2 linked regions of the Neurospora crassa OR74A genome follow. The protein of the gene in region 2 purifies or fractionates together with the protein of the main gene of each other region. This does not show direct contact. Links are inferred from orthologs where the notes say so. Each region holds a gene or a part of one and is shown on either strand. Other genes may lie near its edges.

What was found. The genes of interacting proteins can lie anywhere in the genome.
Region 1: the proteins of rpn-3 (region 2) and rpt-5 purify together in Saccharomyces cerevisiae (affinity purification with mass spectrometry; 3 studies listed by BioGRID). This does not show direct contact. The link is inferred for Neurospora crassa OR74A from reciprocal best matches to the Saccharomyces cerevisiae genes RPN3 and RPT5.

What each region holds. Positions count from the first base shown.
Region 1 is NC_026504.1:3,450,359-3,454,646, reverse strand, and holds rpt-5 (regulatory particle, ATPase-like-5 protein), read left to right. Parts: upstream 1-1,488; 5' UTR 1,489-1,791; coding exon 1,792-2,102; intron 2,103-2,181; coding exon 2,182-2,597; intron 2,598-2,662; coding exon 2,663-3,297; intron 3,298-3,356; coding exon 3,357-3,377; 3' UTR 3,378-3,854; downstream 3,855-4,288. Other genes in the region: NCU04413 (UPF0132 domain-containing protein), read left to right, coding at 217-719, 793-954, 1,006-1,060. UniProt on the Saccharomyces cerevisiae protein: The 26S proteasome is involved in the ATP-dependent degradation of ubiquitinated proteins. The regulatory (or ATPase) complex confers ATP dependency and substrate specificity to the 26S complex.
Region 2 is NC_026507.1:3,274,541-3,278,506, reverse strand, and holds rpn-3 (26S proteasome non-ATPase regulatory subunit 3), read left to right. Parts: upstream 1-1,166; 5' UTR 1,167-1,833; coding exon 1,834-2,026; intron 2,027-2,097; coding exon 2,098-3,419; intron 3,420-3,502; coding exon 3,503-3,646; 3' UTR 3,647-3,940; downstream 3,941-3,966. Other genes in the region: NCU02223 (hypothetical protein), read left to right, coding at 1-95, 223-480. UniProt on the Saccharomyces cerevisiae protein: Acts as a regulatory subunit of the 26S proteasome which is involved in the ATP-dependent degradation of ubiquitinated proteins.

The DNA of each region.
Region 1 (4,288 bases), on a different chromosome or scaffold from region 2:
CAGCCACTTCCAAAATACAACCACTAACGAGCAACGGCCGGAACGAAGAGACGATAACGAGTTACGGGACCACCACGTAAGGATACGATACATACCTGACACAAGGACACGCTCTTACAAATCGAAACGAGCATTCCAATAATCGCACACGAGATTTCCTAACCTACTACACATCACAACTGTCTCAGGAAAGGCAAAACAAGAACAAACAAAACAATGGACTTCGCACCTTACCAAGCCGCACCCCCGGAGCATGGGCGCACCATCTCACCACCCGACTCCACCTCCTCCCCACGCACATCATGGGACTACGGCCGCCGTTCTTCCTACTCCCCCAGCAGCGGAAACAAGTACCAACAGCGCCCAGCGCAAGTATCGCCTCCGCCACTTCTACACCCACAACCACATCGTGCTTGGTCGGGTGAGGGCATCAGCAGGTATCAAAGTCCGAGTGCTACTCCTGGCACCGCCAATGGGATCGGCAGTGGCATTGGGTTCAACAGTAGGAACGGCAGTGGTGGTGGAGGAGGAGGAGGAGGAGTAGGAGGAAGCATGGGCGAATATTTCAATGCGCTGGGCGCTCGAGAGGGGATGGTGTCCGAGTTTGATACGAGCTTGGGACTGAGGCTGGATTATGAGGCGTGTTTGGCGTATTTGGCAGTGCCGCCGCTGGGAGCGATTTTGCTGTTGATTTTGGAGCGGAAGAGTGATTATGTCAGGTGAGTGAAACAAGACCCATCTCTCGGTATGGTCGAGGAGTTAGCGTTGCTGACATGTGGAACTGGGGATTAGGTTCCACGCATGGCAGTCCAGTCTGCTGTTTACGGCATTGTTTGTGCTTCATTTGTTGATTTCTTGGTCGAGTTTCCTTAGCTGGCTGTTATTTCTGGCGGATTTGGCGTTGGTAGGATGGCTGGTTATTAATGCTTATAGGGACGCCGACACGTTAGACAGGTATGTCTTCCGGGATCCAAACGAGTGGACAAAAGCTGACTTGGTTTCCAGATACGAAGTACCGATTTTTGGGCCGATAGCAAGCGGGATCTTGGACGACGAGTAGACGACTGTGGTTATTGGGGCTCAAACGCATCAGGATCAGTCCGGCATCGTGGTTGTCCTGGGAGAGTTGATACTTGACACTTGACGAGAGGTGTGAATACGGCCTTCTCGTACTCTAATGTAATGCGCTGGTATATTTTTAGTCCGATGAGGGATGTATCGAATCAATTCCTGTGTTATCGAGCCGCTTCCCCGTAAGGGACTAGCTCAAGGGTTTTGGTCAACTCCGTTTAAGACTTCATGAACATCGAAATTGAGTGAAGCACAGCAGATGAATGATCGTGCAGTGAAACTCGACTGAATTGAAACCGTGAACCTGGATGGCCGATGCCGCGTGGTTAGTCAGCTGTGGCTGGTTCACTCTGGGGTCAGAGTGGGGTCTAGAGCTGAAGTACTATGTACATACTGTGGGGCGTTAGGTACCCGGCCTTGTTACGTCGCGCTTTTGCCTGCAGCCCAGCTCCTGGTCAACCACCGACAGCACTCGAAGCTCTGTGCCGCATGTCGACCACGCAACTGCCACCATCCACGCAGCACTGCACTACAAGCACGACCGCCGGTCTCCCAACCACAACGCAAACAACGGCGATTTTCATCACTAACCACCACTACTACTCCACGTCGTCGTTTCAAATTCCGTGGAGATTACATACAGAGGATCAGTAACCCGATCTCTGCGCCCTTGCGACTTTCCCTACCGATACCCCACATTCGCACCCGTCTGCGTCAGCCATGTCGACCCTTGAGGAACTCGACGACCTCGATCGCCGTGAGCGCGAGGACAAGAAGAAGGATCAGGACAAGGATAAGAACAACAAGAAAGAGGGAGATGGCGATGCCGAGATGAAGGATGCCGAGCCCGAGGCCGATGACATCCTAGATGAGGAGATCCTGAGTTTGAGCACAGAGGACATCCTGATGCGGAAGCGCCTCCTCGAGAACGATGCCAGAATCATGAAGAGCGAATACCAGCGGTTATCACATGAGAGGGCTACCATGAAGGACAAGATCAAGGAGAACCAAGAAAAGATTGCCAACAACCGGTAAACATTCCCCCTACACTCCCCTAAGGTTTGCCTTCAGTAGCCGCGAAACCTCCCCTACTAACGCTGGCCTCATCAGACAACTTCCGTATCTCGTAGGAAATGTCGTTGAACTTTTGGACCTTGACCCGACCGCCGAGTCCTCCGAAGAGGGCGCCAACATCGACTTGGATGCCACGCGCGTGGGTAAATCGGCAGTCATCAAGACATCGACCAGACAGACCATCTTTCTCCCTCTCATCGGCTTGGTCGACCCCGAGAAGTTGAAGCCCGGCGATCTCATCGGTGTTAACAAGGATTCGTACCTTATTCTGGATACGTTGCCCGCCGAGTACGACAGCAGAGTCAAGGCTATGGAGGTCGACGAGAAGCCTCAGGAGAAGTACACAGATGTCGGTGGTCTCGACAAACAGATTGACGAACTTGTCGAGGCTATTGTGTGGCCTATGAAGGAAGCCGAACGGTTTAAGAAGATCGGTATCAAGGCGCCCAAGGGTATGTCTTCACCAAGATGGAGCAGAAACTCGCTGCTGTGGTATTGCTGCTAACTTCAGGAATAGGAGCTTTGATGTACGGACCTCCCGGAACAGGCAAGACTTTACTTGCCAGAGCTTGCGCCGCTCAGACAGATGCCACATTCCTCAAGCTTGCTGGCCCCCAGCTAGTGCAGATGTTTATCGGAGACGGTGCCAAGCTCGTAAGGGACTGCTTCGCCCTAGCAAAAGAGAAGGCCCCGTCAATTATCTTCATCGACGAGTTGGATGCCGTCGGTACCAAGCGTTTCGACAGCGAGAAGTCCGGCGATCGTGAAGTCCAGCGAACCATGTTGGAGCTCCTCAACCAGCTCGACGGTTTCGCTTCTGACGACCGTATCAAGGTTCTCGCCGCGACGAACCGTATCGACGTCCTCGACCCCGCTTTGCTTCGTTCCGGTCGTCTTGACCGCAAGATCGAGTTCCCTCTTCCGAACGAGGAGGCACGCGCACAGATTCTCAAGATTCATTCCAGGAAGATGAAGGTCAACCCCGGCGTTAACTGGGGCGAGTTGGCGCGCAGCACGGATGAGTTTGGCGGTGCCATGCTGAAGGCTGTGTGTGTCGAGGCTGGCATGATTGCCCTCCGTATGGGCAAGAATCAGATTGGACACGAACACTACGTTGACGCTATTTCTGAGGTGCAGGCCAAGAAGAAGGAAGTGAGTATTTTCCCCAAGACAACCAATGCTTGTGTGCTGCTTACTGACCACGCGTTCAGACCGTCAACTTCTACGCTTAATGTTATTGCATTTCCTACCGTACTGAAAGCGACGACCGAACTACGGCAAACAGCAAGGTCATGGACGGTTCATAGAAATTTGGCATGCAATAGAGCTAGCGTTGGGTTGGGCATGTCTTGTATCATAATGAAGCGTTTTACCCCGATGACTTGCCATGCCATCCAAATTCTCGATAACCCAGAGGCTTGATGACTCTGATGAACAATGTTTGCTGGCCTTCTTGTTAACTTACTGTTACGTTGCCTACCCGATACTCTCATTCTAGAGGGTGAAACGGTTTCCAGTCCGCCGGTTTCGCTGCCCCGATATTGTCCTGGTAAAACTGAAATGTTAAGTATAGCATCAAACAGATTTCACGGGTTTCCGTATGTGGTCCGTTGACAATGTGACCACCTGTTGTTTGATTTTGATCATTCTTCAATATCATCTTGCATTTCGTCCTTGAGTTGCTACACCAGTGGTTTGCTGCTTCTACGACGACTCATTTATTGATTTTCGAGCGGGTCTTCCATAGTGTGGATTTACTTACCTTTTTTTCGTGGCTCAAGATGTGAACTGTACAAAGTACAACCGATTGCAACTCGCTCCTGATGATCCAAAGCTTGGTCCTCAAAACTAAACCGATCAAGACCTGCAGCTTGAATGAAGATCCAGGTGTCGGTCGTCTGCCAGAAAGATCTCTCATGGTTCAAACACTGACTTCGAATTTTCACCATATTTTTCAGAATTCCGCATGATTCTGGCATCCGCGTTAGAGCACCATCCCTCATAGTTGGTATCCGACAAACCCGAAGTACTCCGTTAGAACAACACAACCACTCTTCCTCTTCGCTACCGCCAATACGTAGCATATCAAATATTGGAACGACCAAAACAGAATATCACTATAGGACGCCAGGGGGGTTCTGTG
Region 2 (3,966 bases):
TGAACAAGAAGAAGCTGGACGAGCTGGTTCGGCAGGTGTGCGGTGGTACGGCTGAGGGCCAAGACGGAAATCTCTTGACACCTGAGGTTGAGGAGGTACGTTGTTTGCAACCTGATAATCCTTTGTTTTTCTTTGCGGAAGTCCGCGGTCATTCCTTAACCCCCTTTAGCAAACTCACAAAGTCATCACCACACAACCAGCTAACGTGGCATTCCTTTTCAGTCCGTCCTTGGTCTCGCCGATAGCTTTACAGAGAGTGTCCTCCACGCGGCGTCCCGCAATGCAAAGGAGAGAGGATCCAAGGTTCTTGAGATCCGCGATATCCAGCTTGTTTTGGAGCGTACCTACAACATCCGTATCCCTGGCTACTCTAGTGACGAGCTCAGGACGGTTCGCAAGGTGCAGCCCAATGCTCAGTGGATCACCAAGATGAGCGCGGTGCAGGCCGCCAAGGTCATGCCGGGCAAGGGGGATCTTTAATGGAAGGGTATTCAGACCAGAATGAACAAGAGGTTTCGGGTCTCGCTTGTTTGCATGGATGTGGTAATTCTTTTGGGGGTGGGAAATGGAAAAGGGTGGCGTACCGGATGAGACGGAGGAAATACATTCATCTCGGGATACTTGTATGCTTATCCCTGGCATGAGCTACCCATAATATGGCTTAGGTTGAAGCATCAATCCTTTATGGGTTACGAAACAAGCTCCAAATATAATGGGTTGCAAGCAAGTGCAGATTTGCCGTGATATGCCAGATGATGCAGGGTTCAGGAGGCATATGCATATTCAACCCCGTGATAATGCCATCTTGGGAATGCAGACAGAAAGCGAGGACCATATATTGTATAGGCAATGGTTGCTAACACCATCCTGAAATAGGAGCCATGTCTCCCAAGACCAACTCAGTTTGTAAAAGTCTACATTGGTGGTCGAGGTGGTAAGATGTTTTGGATGTTGTCTACCCTACACTTGTAGTACTTGTAATGTAAGGTGTACCTAAGTACCTAAGTACCCTGCCTCGAGCCTGCCTGGACGTCGTCGACAGGCAGCACATCAACAACGTCAGTGACGAGCCGCAGTGGACCCATTCAAGACAATCTGGCCAATCACAATGCCTAGATGTGTGAAGCTCTTCTGGAGCTTGTCCGAAGGCCACCATAGCACTCACTCACTGCACAGGGCGGCCCTTCAGTTGGTCGTCCGCTCTTGTATGCTGGCCCAACCGTGACCGGTAGGTACTTCCTTTCAATCATCAGCTCAACAACTCCCATCAAGCAAAACACGGGTCTGTGAAGCTTGAACTTTCCTTTCCTGCACCGAACTCCGAGTACACAGCTTGGATTGAATTACCTAGGTAGTTATCCATCGACAACGACGACGAAGCAGTTTGCCCTTGGCCCTCGCTTAACAACGCCGACGACGAAGTCACCCCCATAGATACCTCCCTCTCTACCTCTAGTGCTCCATTCCCCGCCTAGAGCTAGATCCACTGCGACTCTGCCAGCTGCTGCTGCTAAAGGTGCTTGCTCCAGGCTTGCAAGAAGGGCGCGCTTCGCGAGATCGCCCCAAGCAACTCGAACTCATACCTCTGCTCTATTAGGTTGCCCACCAAAACGGCGTCATCATCACCGCACCACAGCATTCCAACATCACCCACCGCGCCAACGCAACCGTCAACCCCCACCACATCATCACCCCGTTTCCCATCGACCATCGGGCCGTTACCAACACAGCAACCACGACCTCCAGCCCAGCCAGCCTATAACCAAACCCGGAGCCGCTCCAGATAAGGAACCACTTGAGCACGGAAGCTATTGGGGTGGAAAGGATCTCGACATGACGGACAAGGATACCAAGAAGTCGGGAAAGCAAGGCGAGGACGAAATGACCGTCGTAGTCCCCCCTCCCAAGAACAAGCAGAACTCTGCGCAACCTCCCAACGACGCCGATGGCGACATTGCCATGGAAGACGACACCAAGGCCGGCGAGGTTGAGGCCCAGGTCGACCCCGTCGCCCAAACCATCAGCGGTACGGTACCTTCCCAGTCCCCAGCTTCATCTATCTTTGTGAGCTGAACTAACCATCACTCGCTTGCGCAGACATCAAGAGCAACTTTGCGCTGCTAGACCGTGCTGTTGCCCTGTTCGATCCCAGATTCTCTCTACGGGCACTGCGATCCATCTCGTCGATCCGGAAACGCCTGACGCCCGACATCCTCGCACAAGTCGTCTCAGAAACCTTCTCCGCGTCCTCACCCAATACTCAAGTTGCCGAGCACCTGCTGCTCGCTGTCGACCGGCCAAATGTGACTCTCGGCAGCAGCTCAGACATGGAGATCGACTCGGGATCCAAGTCGCCAGCGAAGAACGGTGGCAAGAAGGACCCCAAGGAGGTGATTCCTGAGATCGACATCTTCCTAGGCATTCTGGCGCAGGTCCACCTCTACGACACCAAACAGTTCCAGCGCGGATTCGCCCTGTCGCGTTTCCTATCCGAGCGTATCCAGTCCCTCAACCGCCGCACATTAGACAGCCTTTCGGCCAAGGTGTACTTTTACTTCTCGCTCTTTGCCGAGCAGCTCGCTCCCCTCCCGCCTTCCCCCCAGTCGCCGATTGTGTCGATCCGCCCGATCCTCCTCGCCGCTCTCCGAACCGCCGTGCTACGAAAGGATATCGACACCCAGGCTTCCGTCATTGTCCTCCTGCTCCGGAACTACCTCCTCACGTCGCATATCTCCCAGGCCGATCTGCTGGTGCAGCATACCCAGTTCCCCGAGAACGCTGCCAACAACCAGGTCGCGCGTTTCCTGTACTACCTCGGCCGTGTCCGGGCTATTCAGCTACGGTACACCGAGGCCCATGAGCATCTCACTGCGGCGACACGGAAGGCTCCCTCGAGCGCCTGCGCACTTGGCTTCAGCCAGACGGCCACCAAGCTCCTGCTCGTCGTAGAGCTCCTCATGGGCGACATCCCCGACCGCGCCATCTTCCGTCAACTGACCATGGAGGCCACTCTCCACCCGTACTTCCTGCTCGTCCGCGCCGTGCGCGTCGGCAACCTCGAGGACTTCGAGACCACCATCGCCCAGCATGCCGACACCTTCCGCCGCGACGGCACCTATAGCTTGATTTTGCGTCTGCGCCAAAACGTCATCAAGACGGGCATCCGCATGATGAGTTTGAGCTACAGCCGCATTTCGCTCCGCGACATTTGCATCCGCTTGCACCTCGGCAGCGAGGAGAGTGCCGAGTACATTGTGGCCAAGGCGATCAGGGACGGCGTCATCGAGGCCACGCTCGACAGGGAGCGCGGCTTCATGAAGAGTAAGGAGGTGGGCGACGTGTATGCCACCAGCGAACCGGCCGAGGCGTTCCATGACCGTATCCGCGCCTGCTTGGCTCTGCATGATGAGAGTGTCAAGGTATGTTTCTTTTTTTTCTTTCTCCCCCTTTCAAATTCCAGAAGTTATGATAGATTTGTTGCTCACAAATTCTTTCTTTGCAGGCCATGCGTTTCCCCATGAACCAGCACCGTCTCGAGCTGAAGAATGCCCAGGAAGCACGAGAGCGCGAGCGTGATTTGGCCAAGGAGATACAGGAGGGCGATCTGGATGAGGATGATCTCGGTGGTGACTTTGAGGGCATTTAAGATGTTTAGACACACACACACACACCACACACGAGTCTAAACTACCTAGATAGACCCCGCCCAATACCTATAATTTGGTCTTGGGAATAGTCATCATCATCATCCCTGTTGTATCTAGTAATCTGGTATGGAATCGTGCTATCGCCGGCCAAGAAATAAGACGGGAAGAGAGAAGAGACAGAGCCTTATGCTAGAGAAAATACGCTACAACCGTATATCACCTACCATCTTGCCTCACTTGTTCATTAGACGTATCCACTGTGTATCGGGCACAACCACCCATCAACATTTCATGCATGCTTTTTTTCGTTTGTTCCTCA